3 linked regions of the Caenorhabditis elegans genome follow. The protein of the gene in region 2 interacts with the protein of the main gene of each other region in a pairwise test. Each region holds a gene or a part of one and is shown on either strand. Other genes may lie near its edges. The genes, in order: col-20, ccz-1 and R02F11.1.

Evidence for each region.
Region 1: the proteins of ccz-1 (region 2) and col-20 interact in a two-hybrid assay, tested with the Caenorhabditis elegans proteins (one large-scale study listed by BioGRID).
Region 3: the proteins of ccz-1 (region 2) and R02F11.1 interact in a two-hybrid assay, tested with the Caenorhabditis elegans proteins (one large-scale study listed by BioGRID).

Annotation. Positions count from the first base shown.
Region 1 is NC_003280.10:4,868,435-4,873,005, reverse strand, and holds col-20 (Nematode cuticle collagen N-terminal domain-containing protein), read left to right. Parts: upstream 1-2,214; 5' UTR 2,215-2,234; coding exon 2,235-2,298; intron 2,299-2,426; coding exon 2,427-3,229; 3' UTR 3,230-3,336; downstream 3,337-4,571. Other genes in the region: col-73 (Nematode cuticle collagen N-terminal domain-containing protein), read left to right, coding at 1-690, 743-789.
Region 2 is NC_003283.11:13,676,711-13,682,703, forward strand, and holds ccz-1 (Vacuolar fusion protein CCZ1 homolog), read left to right. Parts: upstream 1-2,164; 5' UTR 2,165-2,165; coding exon 2,166-2,250; intron 2,251-2,296; coding exon 2,297-2,406; intron 2,407-2,455; coding exon 2,456-2,766; intron 2,767-2,808; coding exon 2,809-3,374; intron 3,375-3,537; exon of another isoform or gene 3,538-3,687; intron 3,688-4,073; coding exon 4,074-4,197; intron 4,198-4,254; coding exon 4,255-4,522; intron 4,523-4,570; coding exon 4,571-4,693; 3' UTR 4,694-4,829; downstream 4,830-5,993. Other genes in the region: tag-65 (CID domain-containing protein), read right to left, coding at 1-244, 294-418, 468-742, 792-1,144, 1,192-1,343, 1,394-1,534, 1,578-1,717, 1,773-1,872.
Region 3 is NC_003283.11:4,798,829-4,803,715, forward strand, and holds R02F11.1 (CC domain-containing protein), read left to right. Parts: upstream 1-2,265; 5' UTR 2,266-2,319; coding exon 2,320-2,401; intron 2,402-2,445; coding exon 2,446-2,613; intron 2,614-3,301; coding exon 3,302-3,582; 3' UTR 3,583-3,856; downstream 3,857-4,887. Other genes in the region: R02F11.3 (Cation efflux protein cytoplasmic domain-containing protein), read right to left, coding at 4,092-4,253, 4,439-4,857.

The sequences.
Region 1 (4,571 bases), on a different chromosome or scaffold from region 2:
GCATGTACATGCAAAACGTTCAATCCGGACTTCAAGATGAGATCAATTTCTGCCGTACTCGTTCCGACTCTCTTCGTGGAGAATACACCAAGCTCGATCAATTCCGTAAAGCTGAGAGCCGTGAGAAGCGTCAAACCTACCAATGCTGCTCTTGCGGAATTGGACCAGCTGGATCCGTTGGAAACCCAGGACAAGACGGAGCCCCAGGAAATGACGGAAGACCAGGAGCCCCAGGAGCCCCAGGACCAGATGCTCCAAATGAGCACGTTCAACCAACTCCAGCCGATTTCTGCTTCGAGTGCCCACCAGGACCAGCCGGAAACGCCGGAAACCCAGGACCAAAGGGACCACCAGGACAGCCAGGAGCACCAGGAGAGCAAGGACCAAATGGACGCCCAGGAGCCCCAGGAGCCCCAGGACCACAAGGACCACCAGGAACCGCAGGAAATGACGGAACTCCAGGACAACCAGGAGCCCCCGGACAAGTCCGCACCGTCCCAGCCCCACCAGGTAACCCAGGACAGCCAGGAGAGCCAGGAGCCCAAGGACCACCAGGAGAGGATGGACGCCCAGGAAACTCAGGACCACAAGGACCACCAGGACCACAAGGAGAGCCAGGACAAGATGGAGCTCCAGGAAACCCAGGAGCACCAGGAGAGGCTGGAGAGCCAGGAAAGGACGGAGCCAAGGGTAAGTATTTATTCAATTTTTGTACATTTCTCTTATCATTCCCTAATTCCAGGAGGATGCGATCACTGCCCAATCCCAAGAACTGCTCCAGGATATTAATTCCTCAATTGCTATTTTCTTGCTTAAATTATTTCTCTTTCTCTCTACTTGTATTTATAATACCTGTCGAAACATTTCACGGGGCTCTTCAACAAGAAACCAATAAAACTATTGAAATTAATTGAACTTGTAAAGAGAATTGGATGAATAGGAAAAGAAAGGTGAAGAGATAGAAAGTGAAAATGAGTGAATGTAATGATGGACGGTCATTTAAAAGGAAGGTGACTCGTAAAACAAAACTATTATGATTCGTTTAAAGAACGGTGACAATGTGGAAAAATATTGGTAATAGAAATTATGAAAACACAAAAGTTAAAGAAGCTCTTCGATACGCTTAGTTTTGAGCTTAAGGTTTTGAAACTTTTTTTCGCGTTAACAAAACTTAATTCACACTAATGAATCAAAAAACTAATATTTGAAATTTAATTTTTTATAATTTTTAAAAAAATTCTTTACGGCGAATAAACTCTAGGAAGACCAAAACTTTAGAGTAGTTACCAGATGCGAAATTTTATAGAAACAATGGCAACGTTGAGCTGCGGAATGTAGGCCTCCAGCTAGTTGTGGAAAATACATCACGAGGCATAAATGTGATCAAAACCTGCCTGTAAATTTCAGTTTTAAAGTAATTTTTAATAAAAATTGAATTGTATACTTTTTTTGTGGACACTTTTTCAGACGAGGCTTTTTATCAACTTTTTTTGTGACCTCAACTAGTGGAAATTGGGAATGGGCACAAAAACATTTTCTGCAATTTGGTATTTGCCACTTTTGGAGCTGTCAAAAAAGAAATAGGCTTCTCACTCTTTCAGCAAACCGGAAAAGATCGAGCTCAAAAACTTGGCAGTTGTGAGGTAAAATTTCGGAAAAGTTAAATTGCAATGAATTTTAAAAAATGAATACCTGAAATGTTTTTCTGTCACATAACAAAAGCTCGTCCCTTTACCAAATTATAGATTTTGCAATGTTCTACTCGGAATTTTGGATTGCCGAATGGTATTATCTGGTTTTTATTGACACTCGCGAAAATAGGTTCTAAAAATCCTGAAACATTTTCAACAAAGGAAAAGTTTTATGTTGCTACCCCTATCAAATTTTAAGAAATAACTTCCGTCATTTTTCTATTTTCCATCACAACGGCACGATTGCCGATTGCAAGGAATGATAACAGTTCAGATCGGTTCGTTTTTCTGTTTTCTTTTTTCTTCCCAGGCAACGGTCTTCTACGTCTCCCTTCAAGCCAACCCCGAAAACCAATCAGCCCCCAAATTGTCGAGCGTCTCCAATTTTCAGATGATCCCTCTTCAAGCATCTTCTTTTTTTTCCTGGAAAGCCTACTCCCACTCTCCTATCTCTAGTAGTTACTGTACACCGACGCTATCGGTTCCCAAGCGAAACTATAAAAGAAGGGGTCGAAAGTTGTGGAAACCATCACACTAACGGACATGGCCGACGAGAAGTCAATCAAGTACGCTGAGGCGGATTCCGTCAAAAAATTCGCCTTCTTCGGTAATTATTTTTTAAAAATCAATTTCTTTGTTTTCAAAAACTTTAATATATTATAAGATGTTTAATATCATTTTGCCAAAGATTATCATAACTCCTATTATTCAATTGTTCACACTTTCATTTTCTAGGTGTGGCTGTTTCCACCATTGCCACCTTGACGGCTATCATTGCCGTGCCAATGCTCTGTCTGCACATGCAAAATGTGCAATCTGGCCTCCAAGAGGAGCTTGTCTTCTGTAAATCAAAGAATGCTGATCTTAAATCCGAATTCTTCAAGCTCGACAAGGTCCGATCTAACGCTGTTTCTGATCGTCAAAAGCGTCAGTCTGAGTACCAATGCTGTTCTTGCGGAATTGGAGCCGCCGGAGCCCCAGGATCTCCAGGAGAGGACGGAGCTCCAGGAGATGATGGAAAGCCAGGAAATGATGGAGAGCCAGGTCGCGATTCTACCGATAAGGACGAGAAGCCAACTGCCGCTGACTTCTGCTTCGATTGCCCAGTTGGACCAGCTGGACCAGCCGGAGGACCAGGACCAAAGGGACCACCAGGACCACCAGGAGGACACGGAGAACCAGGACCAGCTGGACGTGGAGGACCACGTGGCCCACCAGGACCAGGAGGACCACAAGGAGAGGCCGGAGAAGATGGAGGAGCCGGAAACCCAGGAACTCCAGGACAAGTTCGTTCTCTTCCATCCCCACCAGGAGAGCCAGGACAACCAGGAGAGCCAGGAGGTCCAGGAGAGCCAGGAGCCGATGGACGACCAGGACACCCAGGAAGAGCCGGACCTCCAGGACCACCAGGAGACAATGGACCAAACGGAGAGCCAGGAAAGGACGGGGAGGATGGAGCTCCAGGAGCCGCAGGAAACGCCGGAGCCAAGGGATCTTGCGATCACTGCCCACCACCAAGAACTGCTCCAGGATATTAGATTGTCTTTCTATGTTTTTAAATTCTTCTTTTCTTTCTGGTCGTTTATGTTTTTCACTCAAAATGAAGAACTTTCGAGTATATTAGTTGATTCGAATTATCATATAAGTGTGTTTTCAAAAAAGTTTAGTTCAACAACAGGAAGTTTCTTTCAGAAGCGATTTCAAACTTGATAAGAAGATACGGTAATAGTTCTAATGACCATTGAAATAGTTGTAGGAAACCATTTATGTCTGGTGAATGTGTTGCCATAGATACTACTACGTTTCATGTAATTTTCGATGAAGATGTCAGACTGGTCACAAATCCTTTTGATCTATAGGAAATGCGCTCAACCGAAAAATGATAAAAACCAAGTCATGTCGCTTTGATTCGAGATTCTTCTATAAATCTGAAGCGGTTTCCAAGAAGCAATTTAAGTCAAAAATAAATTTAGAAATATTGAAAAATATTTGATTAATTTAAAAATAATATTCCTAACTAATAAAATGTGCAAAAAAACATCTGAAAACTGGCTGAAAGTTGTCGAAATTTTGAGGGCCGTGTTTGAGGATTTTTCCAACGTTTTAAACATATTTTCCAATAAGTTGGATTGTTAAACTGAAAATTGACAATGTTCCTGGATATCCTGAAAAATGACTACAAGTTATGCTAACCATCTTTCAGATTTCAGGGGTTTTTCTTAAACTGTTATTTCTAATTCCAATTCAAAAGTTCAAAAAGAAGGGTGGTATAGTACAAGGCGTTCCATCTGCATTCCTCAAAAACCGAGACGTTCAACGATCATAGTGTAATACAGAAGAAGTCACGAAAAAAAGAGAGGGAAACCAACGAAAAAAAACTAAAACTTGGTCGCGATTTTCGATTTTTTCCTCTTTCTCCTATGTTCGTTTTTACCCTCATTGACGCCACAGAAAAAAACATCTGTGTTTGGGAATTTTAATTAAATTAATCAAATCTTCGAGAATAAGGTGAGACACAAAAGTGATTGAAATGAGGAGTGGAGATTTGTGGATTTGGATGCAATCACTATCACCTTCTTAATCCAAACAATTTTGTTCGGAACAAAAGATGGAGGAAGCAACAGGGGAAGGTGAATGTGTAAGGGATTAGTTCCTTCTTGGAAAGAAGGTGGTCAGAGAAAAATCTAAAATGCGGTAGGCAGATACATAAGCAGGCAGACAAAGGCAGTTTACTTACATGAAAAATCGACATAAGAAGTTTTGAATTCGATCTCATAACTGTCAAATAACAGTAGATACCCATTACAATTTGGGGGCTTCAAGACCAAACTAGAGTTCACTAGGACTCTAGAAATTCAGATTTTACTGCAAAATAACTAT
Region 2 (5,993 bases):
TAAATTTTCGGGTGGCTCCTGTGAAGCATAGTATGCGTCGACGCATTTACGAATTTTTTCAATTTGATCTTCTTCTTTCAATTTTCTTGTTTTGTCAAATCGTTCTCGATCAGTTGCAGATGGTCGATTTGTGATAAATTCTTCGACAGAACATTTTTGTTTTTCTTCGAATGTCTTTTTAATACGTGCCTTTTCTTCCAAAAACTCAAGAGGGTATTTCAAGTTGGTCGGATCTTCGGTGATTCTGTAAATAATTAATTTAATAAAAAATTGAATTGATTTTGAGAACGTACGCTCCATCGGCCAAAGCAATATCCATTTCGACACCTTTGTGGAACATATTCTTAGCAGCAAGTAGTCTTGATGACGGTGGAACTGATGCTGGCATTTCAAGTTCTTCTGGGTCCAATGGTTCATACTTGAATCAAATAAAATATAAATTGACAAAATATCGGATCATAACATACCATGACACTATTCATCGAAACTAGTGGAGTCATAATTCCAGCCGGTAAAGCCATATACGATTTCTGTGGCTTCAAATTTTCCTCATCAAACGGCATTCCATCAATATCTTCTCCATCGTCCTGCTGGTCATTTTGATTCCATGTGTTCGAAACAGAAGCGTGTGGTCGTTCAGCTGAATGTTTTGGAGCTTGATCAAATCTTGATCTTCTCATGTTTGACAGTGGAGCATTAGGATGATGCGATGCAGGTCCGGATGATGGCCCATGACGAAACTCTGTAAGAACCAATTTTTAAAATTTTCAGACTAAATTTCTATTTCTCACCATCAATTTTTCTCTCAACTTCGTCAATTTGTCTTTGAATATGCTGGGAATATGTGACATGCTGTTGTTCATATCCATCAAACGTTGCCATCAGATTACTTCGAATCGACTCCCGAATTGTTCCATAAGATGATTTTTCAATTTCTCTGTCAGTGCTAACAATTTGAACTGTATTCCTGAGTTGTTTGAATACAGAATCAGCGAAATATTGTCGACCTTCCCATTCTCCTAAAAGCTTTCCTTCTAACTTGTTGCTCAACTCACTCGACGAAGAAAGTTCTATACAATATGCATACATTTTTGGAACGTATCGAGCCAGCATTTTCATTTGATTTTCTTCTTTTTTTCTTTGACTGAAATTTGGTATTTAACGACGTTTTGTTCAGTATTCTAAGCTTACCAATGAAATGCCCAATCATTGATTAAATATAGAATATGAAGTCGTAGATATTCTCCAGATGCTTCATCTTTAACTTTATTTAACAGAAAAGACAGTATTATTTCTCTCAGCTGATCGCTTGTGCAGTATTCGAAAATCCACTTTTTCGCTTGCTGAAGAAAATTTTTCGTCAAATTTCTTTATTTTTTGAAAAATTACTTACTGAAATCAAATCTTTAGAGCATTTCGGTGTAGCCATTGCATCTAAATAGGAATTGAGATCTTCCACGTTCAGATTATTCTGACTCAACATCTTCTCAATTTTCATTGTTTCAGAAGTTCGAATAGCAGATTTAAGATGTGCCTGGATAAACGTGGATACAAGATTGTATGTTTGCAAAACACACCATTAGGAGCTCGTCCATTCCATTTCTGTGAGCGTTCAAATTCTGCTCACTGTCGATAATCTTTTGACGTAACTCATCGATTTTCTTGCGCCATTCGACAATCTCTGGTGGATCCATCAGAGAAGGAATCGACTGCCGTTCTGAAAAGTCAAAAATTAATGATTTACAATCTTGAAACGTTTAAAAGATTCAAACCTGGTGGAGGGAAGTCCCTAGGGAGTGGAATATCGCCACTGCGCCATGATTGACCGTGCTGAGAGCTACTGCCACCTCTCCAGCTAGAATTTTCATTCATGTCGTCTAAAAGTTATATGTTTATATGATCAAATATTTTATCTCTTTCTTGTGACAAATAAACAATATATATATTCTGCATGGTTTTGCAGAAAATTTGCGGAGGATTTAAAAAATAAATCGAGACATGCGCCAGTGATCAAGTTTTGCGTCAGTGAACAACGTTTGCGTCAATCATTTATGTCTGCTACCCTCCTAGTCTCACACACTCTTTTTCTCTCTTTTATTTTATTTTATTTTTAATTTTAATTTTAACACTGCACGGTACAAAACATATATTTTGCTTTTTTCAGAATGGAGTCGATTGCAAATCCATTGTATTTCTTCTCCAACTTGTCATTAAACCCGCCATCCTGCTCTAATGTGGTCAGATTCATTGGTAATTGAATTTTAATTAAAAAAACGAAATAATTATGTTTTTACAGATGTCCTTGAATTCTTTTTCGTGGCGCATCCATTATCAGGACGAAAAGAAGGCGAAGAACATAATCGTGTGATGTATTTTCATCCGAAAGGCGAGCAATTAGAGAGACAGGTTTTCAATATCGTAATACTTTTTATTCTAATAACTGTATTAATTTCAGACCGAAATAACAGGATTCGCAGAAGCCGTTGTTAACTTTACAGAAAATTTCTTGAGCACCTCCCGTCGGGAAATCAGTGAAAGAATTAGTGAAAATGAAGATGGTTTCGATTTCCGAACTGTGACGACGCAGAGAACAGAGCACGTTTATATTCGTACAGAAGACGATCAATTTATTCTTGGAGTATCAATTTCTAAACAATTATCATTGGTTTCTGATTATCCTCTATTTCAACCAGCGATTAGGAGTATACTTTCCGATGCCTACAAAATGTTTCGAATGTTTTTTGGAACTTTTTCTTCTTTTATCAAGTAAGTTAAAGTCTAGTTTATAAAAATAAAAATATCTTTCAGAAATGTTCCCGACGACATTCCAAAATTCAAAGAACGCCTTGATTTTTTCTTCTCCAAGTACATCCCACTACTGAAAGTTCACAAAATGCCACTACTTGATCATCTTGGAGGCGTCGAATTTCTACGAATGTCTGGTCCTCTCTACTTGAACGTTGTTTCTTTACTTTCCGAACTTCGTGAAGAATTCCAAGTTATCGAGAAAATAATGTTCTTGTATCAAGATAAACTTCTCTACTATCAACTTTCGAAACGCGATCTTCCATCACTATTTCATTATTTGACACATAATTTGCTTCCAACAACATTGGCTCCAGAACTTGAACATTCTGGAAGAAATGCTTCAAAAGGAAGATATCTACGAGGACCAACAGATTTAACAACAGATGCTCCGTTGCTCGGTGATGAGTCACTTTCTGTAGTTCATTTGCATTCCGATCAAGGAACTGAATTTCAAGAAGAACTCATCGGATACCAGATGATCGTTTATCGATGTCTAAATGCAACAGTTTGCATGTTTGTCAGAAATTGTCCAGCAAATGGTGGATTAGAAATCAGAAGGGATTCTGGTGAGTTTTTAAAAATAGTTTTTCGAAACGAAACGTTCTTATTACGTTTTGAGAATAAATTGAAAATAAAAAAGCGATTTTCAACTCTTGCTAATCTGCTAATTTGAATTGCCGCTCTTTTGTATCTAAAATCCACCCGTAGAACCGTGCCGCGCCTCGTTTTTTTGCAATTGTACCGCAAATTTGTCTTTTTGTGTTGTTTTTTTATTCTTAATATAGAAAAATGGCATAAATGATCAAATATATTTTTTTGTATATCAAAAGAATTAAAAAATCGTATCGAACCCGAAAAAAGTACATGTTCCTGAAATTCTAAACACAAGGAAACGTTTTTAAAAATGATTTCTAAATGCTTTTGAAATAGGAAAAATATTTTTGAACATTTTTGAATTTTTCTTCATTAAAAATTAGTCAAGAAACACAAAAAAGAAGAATTCGTGTCGAAATTGAAAAAAAAAGTCGAAGTGCGGCACGGTTCTATGGGCGGAGTTTAGAGACAAAAGCGTGGTAATTCAAATAAAGGGATTAGCAAAAGTTGAATTTTCATCAAAATCAGATTTTTTCCAAATTTGGTGGATTTTTCTCATCTTTCTTATGTGATATTTCGGCACATTAAACTACTTTTAAGGTAATATCTACATTTTCCGAACTCCACCTTTAAACAAAATAAATCTTTTTCCGACTTATTTTCTTTTCCAGAATCATCTCAATCATCTCGCGCCACTCCTTCACAGAATGGTGTTGTCAGTCGTCGACTTCTTCGAAATATTGATCAGTTTTTGGAAACCGAACTTTCACAAGTAGCGAGTAAAATTGGTGACGAGTAAGTTCAAACTTACATTATATCACAATAAATTCCATTAAATTCCATTAATTTCAGAATCGGCGACGAAAAGTTCCCGGAAGCTCCAGATTTCCATTACATTTACTTCAATCCATCATCGTTATCCATGACCTCAAGCCTTTCAACATCTCCGAAGCTTCCCGTTGCCGCTTCTGGATCTAATTCAACATTAAAAGTACCACTGCCACCAGTTGATGTTAATCGTTTAGTATGTGATACAATGAGCAATTTTGTGTCGGAAACTGAAGAATTTGGTGAATGTTTCGTCAAATCTTCAAGTGATTGGTGGATTGTTATCAAAAAGGTAACAACATTCTTGGCAAAAACAAAATTCAATGTTTTTATTTTTCAGGTTAATTCTCGCCTCCTTGTCTTAATCATTCCTCCATCCAACTACACATCATCCCTTGCCGATGTCCAATCAAAAACTGCAACAATTGTTCGATCCCATTTCGAAGCCATATTTTTTAGTTGATAATATTCATATTTTCCCATGCATGTGTGCCAAAATTTTGTGATATTTGCCTATAATTCAATTCCGTTGCCTTGTACTTTTATATCTTATTCAATTTTTTCTACAGATCTATATTTATATAAAGCTTTTCAATTTTAGAACATGAGAAACATGTTGGGCTCCACATATACTGCCGGGGAATTTCGAAAATCGGATGAGTGCCCTTTGATGCTGAAAATTAGATTTAGTCAAAAGATCTGATCATGCTCCCCCTCGACCACTCCGACGGCTCCTTTGCTCTTTTTCCACACGATTTTCGACATTTTCTTCAAATTTCTTCTTTTTCTTCTCTCTTCAGCAAAAAGCTTTTCATTTTAATAATCCAATTGACTTTTGAAATTTCCCCCCCCCCCCCGCACTCTCATGACTTCTTGCCAAAAATTTATATATATATTTCTGATGTTTATATGTATATGTGTCGTCAAGGTGACAAATGCATGTACATTTTATAAGGGAGGTCTGAGAAGAGAACCACCAAGAAATAAAGTGGGTGGAGTTTCTTAAAGAGGCAAGAAGGCAATGAGATGGAGGGGCAGGTGAGCATATTGAAGGGAAAACGAATTTATTGCTCTCTCGATATTGACTCTCGGGGACCTTCATTTACCCTCTTTTTGAATGAGATTTTCTTTTGCCCAAGTGAGATTTCGTCTCGCCACGAGCGAAAGTTTTCAGCTACCGTACCCTCTAGTACTGTAAATTTTTAATTAAAAATGTCACTCAACAAATTTGTGGCCTTTCCATGAAAACACCCAAAAATCCGAGTAAGACAAGAATATAATTGATGAAATTGAGCAAAACACTCTCACAATCAGGTACATATGTACCAGGGATGCCACCAAAATTGTTTGACCAAAAAACAAAAAAAAACCTTTTTTTTTCAAAAACCCAAAAATTCAAAAACCAAACCAAAAAACAAAAAAAGAACATCTCTGTCGGTTCCTGTTACTGAAAACTTTCGCTCGTGTCCCAATGAGTTTGGGTACTATATCTATAGATCTATATATAGATTAATTATGGAGAAGCGGGAATGGTGATTTCGCTGTAAAATTCCCAGAAATATCAGACATTCAGAAATGTCACAAAATAAAAACTAAAAAATCTAGAAAGAATGGAAAATTCAACTTTTTGAAACGTTGTTTGAGTTCCCTCAAAGATGAGGACTGCAAGACCAATCAGCAACTTGCTCCGCCCACTCTTAAACCAATCAAACAGAATTGAAGAGCTCAAAAACACTAATTGGTTTGATAGTAGGCGTGGTTTC
Region 3 (4,887 bases), 8.9 Mb from region 2:
CGGAACTTCACTGCTCTCCAGATGTTCAATGTTTATCCAGGAACACTAAAAATAAAACTTGTTCGAGTGGGTAGAAAAGTTGAAGTTCCTGATAGACATATCGCAAATTACCTGAGGAAAGAAATCCTCCCAATTTCCAGGCAAAAAAAATCGTTTAAAATGTCCGAACTGCCATATTTTCCCTATTATACATACTTGTAGAGAAATAGTTTGAAATCGCAATTAAAAAAATGAAACTGTAGATTATCCTGTTTACCTGCGTGCCTACCAGGGGTGTGCGGCAAATTTACCGAATTTGCCGAATTTGCCGAGCACGGGAAATTTCAAAAAAGTAGATTTGCCAAATTTGCCGAGCTCGGCAAATTTCAAAATTTGTCGCACACGTCAAAAATTTGACAGTACAATTTTGACTAAAACTATTGATTTTTTCGCCAAAAAATTACAAAATTGAGTTATTTAGATGCATAAGCAAACATACTACACGGAACTTATTCGGAATCCAGGTGATTGTTCAGAATTCAGTAGTTTTGGTGCTCCAAAAAGCATCAATGAGTATTAATTTTTTGGAGTTTGTTGAGCACGGCTAATTTGCCGTAGGTAGGCACTTTGATGCCTCGGCGTCCCATATGCAGAACAAGCTCAAAACAGACACAACTCTGGAATATGTACGGCAATTAAAACTGAGCTTTTTCTGCGTATCTAAAGGTCAGACACAGCAGTCCAGCTCCAATTTAAGCCTTGTTCGAGCCGGGGACTGTGACCAATAGTCCAGTCGTGGATTGCTCTACTTCCCACTTAAGGCTGGATGGACCTAGTGGGAGGTAGGACTTGAACTGGTGACCTCTAGATTGCTGGCGGCCACCACTGGTTCATTGTGTCCGGACCTCGATCGCGATGTCTCCACTGAGACATTATGCGTACATCTTAAGTTGTTCGAAGACTCTCGCATGACTTCCATGTTTCTTGTTCCAATAATTCCCAGACGTCACAAAGCATATTCCACGTGTTTTTTTTAAACCGCGTTTGGACGAGTGTTGGGAAAAAAAGAGAGTTGTGCTCTCATAATGGAGGTGTATTATGTGCTCACTTTCTCTCTGAGAAGTTGCCTCTTCAAGGATGATGGCTTCCCGTCTCCGGCCGTGGTCTACACCACCCGCGTGTGTTGCATCCCAAAACCGGATACTCTTACCTGCCGGTCAGTTGGCCCGGCAGCTCTCGCTGTCTCTCTGACGCCACCGCTGCCACTCGAGTGCACCGAGTATAAAGAGCACAGTGCTCCGACACTTTAGAGTCAAATTTTCTTCCGATGGCAAATCGGCTACTCACACATCAGGAACAGATTTTGCTCTGTTCTCTGTTTTTAAGATTTTCTAGACACCGTAGTTTCCCTATTAGACATGCAACCCTTGCTCTATTTTGTTATATCTCTGTTCCCTTCGGTTCTATCAAAAAACTGTCATTAACTGACAAAACACGTGCAAAATATTTATCTACAGTTAGACAGTAAACGCCGCTTAAGTAGATCAATGAGTTTCATGTCCAATATGCTAAATACGGTAGGAATCATTTTTTCAACTATTCTAATTTTTCTTGTAGCATTAAAAAAACTATCAACTAACATCCTAACTACTATTTAAGTATCAAGCATTGCAAAAATTTAAAGAAGCAAAAGGCTCTTACTATTAGAAAGCTATATGTTTTCCATTGACCACAGACTCCGGGCTTTTCATAAAAACCTTAGCAATCCGAATATAATTGGAAAGTTTCTATATATGCTTCAACCGTGATAAGATAAGTTGAACGACATTTTGACAAGCGCGCGCTCACAATCTTTTGGTGTATGTGTGTGTGTGTGTGTGGGGTCACTCAAGTATTTGAACATCAATCGTCCACTTCATTTTACAAACACATAGACTGGACTGAGCCCGATGGGGGAAATGAGAGAGTTTCGTGCCGCGCGCAAAGAGCACGTCGCCGCGCGGAGGCGCCAGAGTCTAAGCTAACACAGAAAGTCGGAGGGAGACGAAAAAGAGAAGACGGTCAGTTAGTGTCCCCTCCCCTCTCTCCTCACTGTTACGTACAAATGACCATTTAGTCTTGCTGCTCCATCGGGCTTCTCCTTGAGAACAAATCTTCAGATTTATTTTTGAGTTACCTTACTCTACCTACTAATTTTACAGTTTTACTTACATATTACTCTTTATTATTTATCTGAATCTTTATTAGTTTCCTGATATAATATTATTATTATTATTAAAATTTCAGGCCAGCGCAGGGTCAGGTGTTCCTACTTGTCTTAAAACCTTCAAATAACTCATTATGAAGCAACTCGCCATCTCCTTCTGCATTATCCTCCCCCTCGCCTGCTTCTGGGTACTGAACGCAGAAGACGCGAAAGAAGGTATGTTGTCACTCACTCTTCAACTCCTAAAATCCGACTTTCAGCTCCAGAAATTCGTGAAGCCAACTCCACAGTATTCCGTCAGAAGAGGCAGTTTGGATGCCCATCCAATTGCTATTCCTCATGCAGTTCCTCGTCCCAGTGCCAGAGATATTCTGTCGCATCTGTCTGTGTCCAAGGATGCTGTTGCCCAGGAAACAATAACCTTGATAGTAAGTTTTTTTAATATGAAGGTTGTGTAGGAAGTTGAAAAATTGCTTTTTTTCATAAATCAGAGATGTTAAAGAAAACGTCGCAATTATTAAAAACTAGGAGCGGGGATAGCTCAGTCGGTAGTATTGATAATTAGCAATCTAGAGGTCACGAGTTCAAGTCCTGGCTTCCCTAGGTTCAGTGTACCCAGATCCGTTCATATCGCTTAAGTAACGCATCGTCCTTTAACCCTTTAGTAAGGAATATGAGATAAAAGTTGAATGCTGACACCTTTAAAATTTAGATCTCCCTTAGTTCAAACCTCAAACCTTATCAAAATCATATCAAGAGATATCAAGAATCCAGTCACCGTTCCAATTTCTCAAGTGTCCCCGCCGTTCCCTTCCGGTTCGAGCAAACACACACACTGATTACCTAATGATTGCTACAACTCCCGGGGAGACGCTGCTTAGTCCCTTTTGCGGTGATGGAGACACCTTCTTATACGGCTCAACATAAATACAAAATATTTGCGAAGTTTCGCGGGGTGTTTGCGTTTGCTCGGTGCGTGCTGCTGTGCTCTGTGTCTCACGAAGTCGGCGCGGTTTGGACAACACGCACGAACCTATCTTTTTCTATCTTTAGCTCGTATCAGAACGAGTTCAAATATGGGTGTGGAAAGTCGTCTAATTCCAACAAAAATTTCAGCCGCCTGCTCCGGAGGACCAGCCGTCGCCGCCTGCCTCGGAGGACTCTGCGGACAAGGATTCTTCTGCTCGAGCAACAACTACTGCTGCAGATGCCAATCCGGAAACAGCACGGGACCATGTGTAAACCAGGTCTGCCCAACCGGATTCATGTGCAACACCAACAACTACTGTTGCCCACTCGGATCCGGAGGAGTCCTCGGATCATGTGTCAACGGAGTCTGCCCAACTGGATACACCTGTGGAGCTGGAAACTTGTGCTATTTGAGCAGTGGAAAGTAAAAAAATGGAATTCAATTTTTCCCTTTTTTCATGCGACAAATTGCCCCCAGTCTTTCTATATTTTTATATATTTTTTTAATATATTGTACTTTCCTTCTCCGTTCTCTGACTCTCTGCTCCTTTTAAATTATTCTAATCTATTTGAAACGAATCGTTCCCACCACCAAGACAACAACATCAACAACAAACGAAATCCCAAAAAAATATTTGAATTGTTTTTAAATTTAATTTGTTTATTTATTATTTTATTTTAATTAATGAAATAAAAAAAGAAACATTTGACACTCTACGACGATATGTGAGAAAAAATATTATAGTTTGCAAATCAAAATTTTCAAAATTTCAAACAAAAAAAAGTATAGTTAATTATGCGAAAAAAAAACATTGAGAGATGCTGATGATTTCTGTCATGAAACCGGAAAAATATGAAATAAAACTTAAAGTAGGGGGGCACTGGGAAGAAGAAAAAAACAAAATCATAATGCAAATGTGCTCTAATAATAACTAATTCAAACAATTTTATGCTCGTCGTGAGGATGATGATCATAATCATAGTCTGTATGAACAAATGCACGTTCAACTTCCGGCAAGCTTTCGATGTTTGATTGGAGGGTCTCACTGATGTCATGGGATTCTTTGAGGATCATATTCTCGTCGAGCACAATGTGCACCTGGAAATATTACAGATTTTAGAGTAGCACAATAATTCAGTTGTAAGCTCAGCCTCTTCAGAAATGTGCGATACGGGCTTATGTTAGGCCTAGGTGTAGGTTTAGGCCTAGGCTTAGGCTTGGGCTTAGGCTCAGGCTTAGGTTCAGGCTTAGGCTTGAAGAATCCAGAGAAAAAATATTCTTACCTCAACTAAAAACTTGCTTCCAAAATGGTACACATAAACCGTATCAATATGTGAAATCCGAGCATCATGATCCAAGCAGACTTTGATGATCCTATTAATGAACTCTGGCTCTGCAGTTTTACCCGACAGCTTTGCCAAATGCTCCCGTCCAGTTTGCACCCAGGTATACAAAATGTACATAGAAACCACAATAGCACCGGCTGGGTCAAAGTAGTACGAGTACTTGGTGCCGAGCCAGGCACAGATCAGGGCGACCGTGTTGGAGATGCAATCGTTGCGATGGTCCATTGCGAGCACGTTGACCGATGGTTCCTTGTATCGTTTACAGAATAGGTAGAGGGACAGCTTGACGAGAACTGTTGACACCATGATGACTACAGAGGTGATGGTGACGTTGAGCTTGGGTTCTTCACCGATTCCTGGAAATTTTTAGGATTGTAACTTAAAAT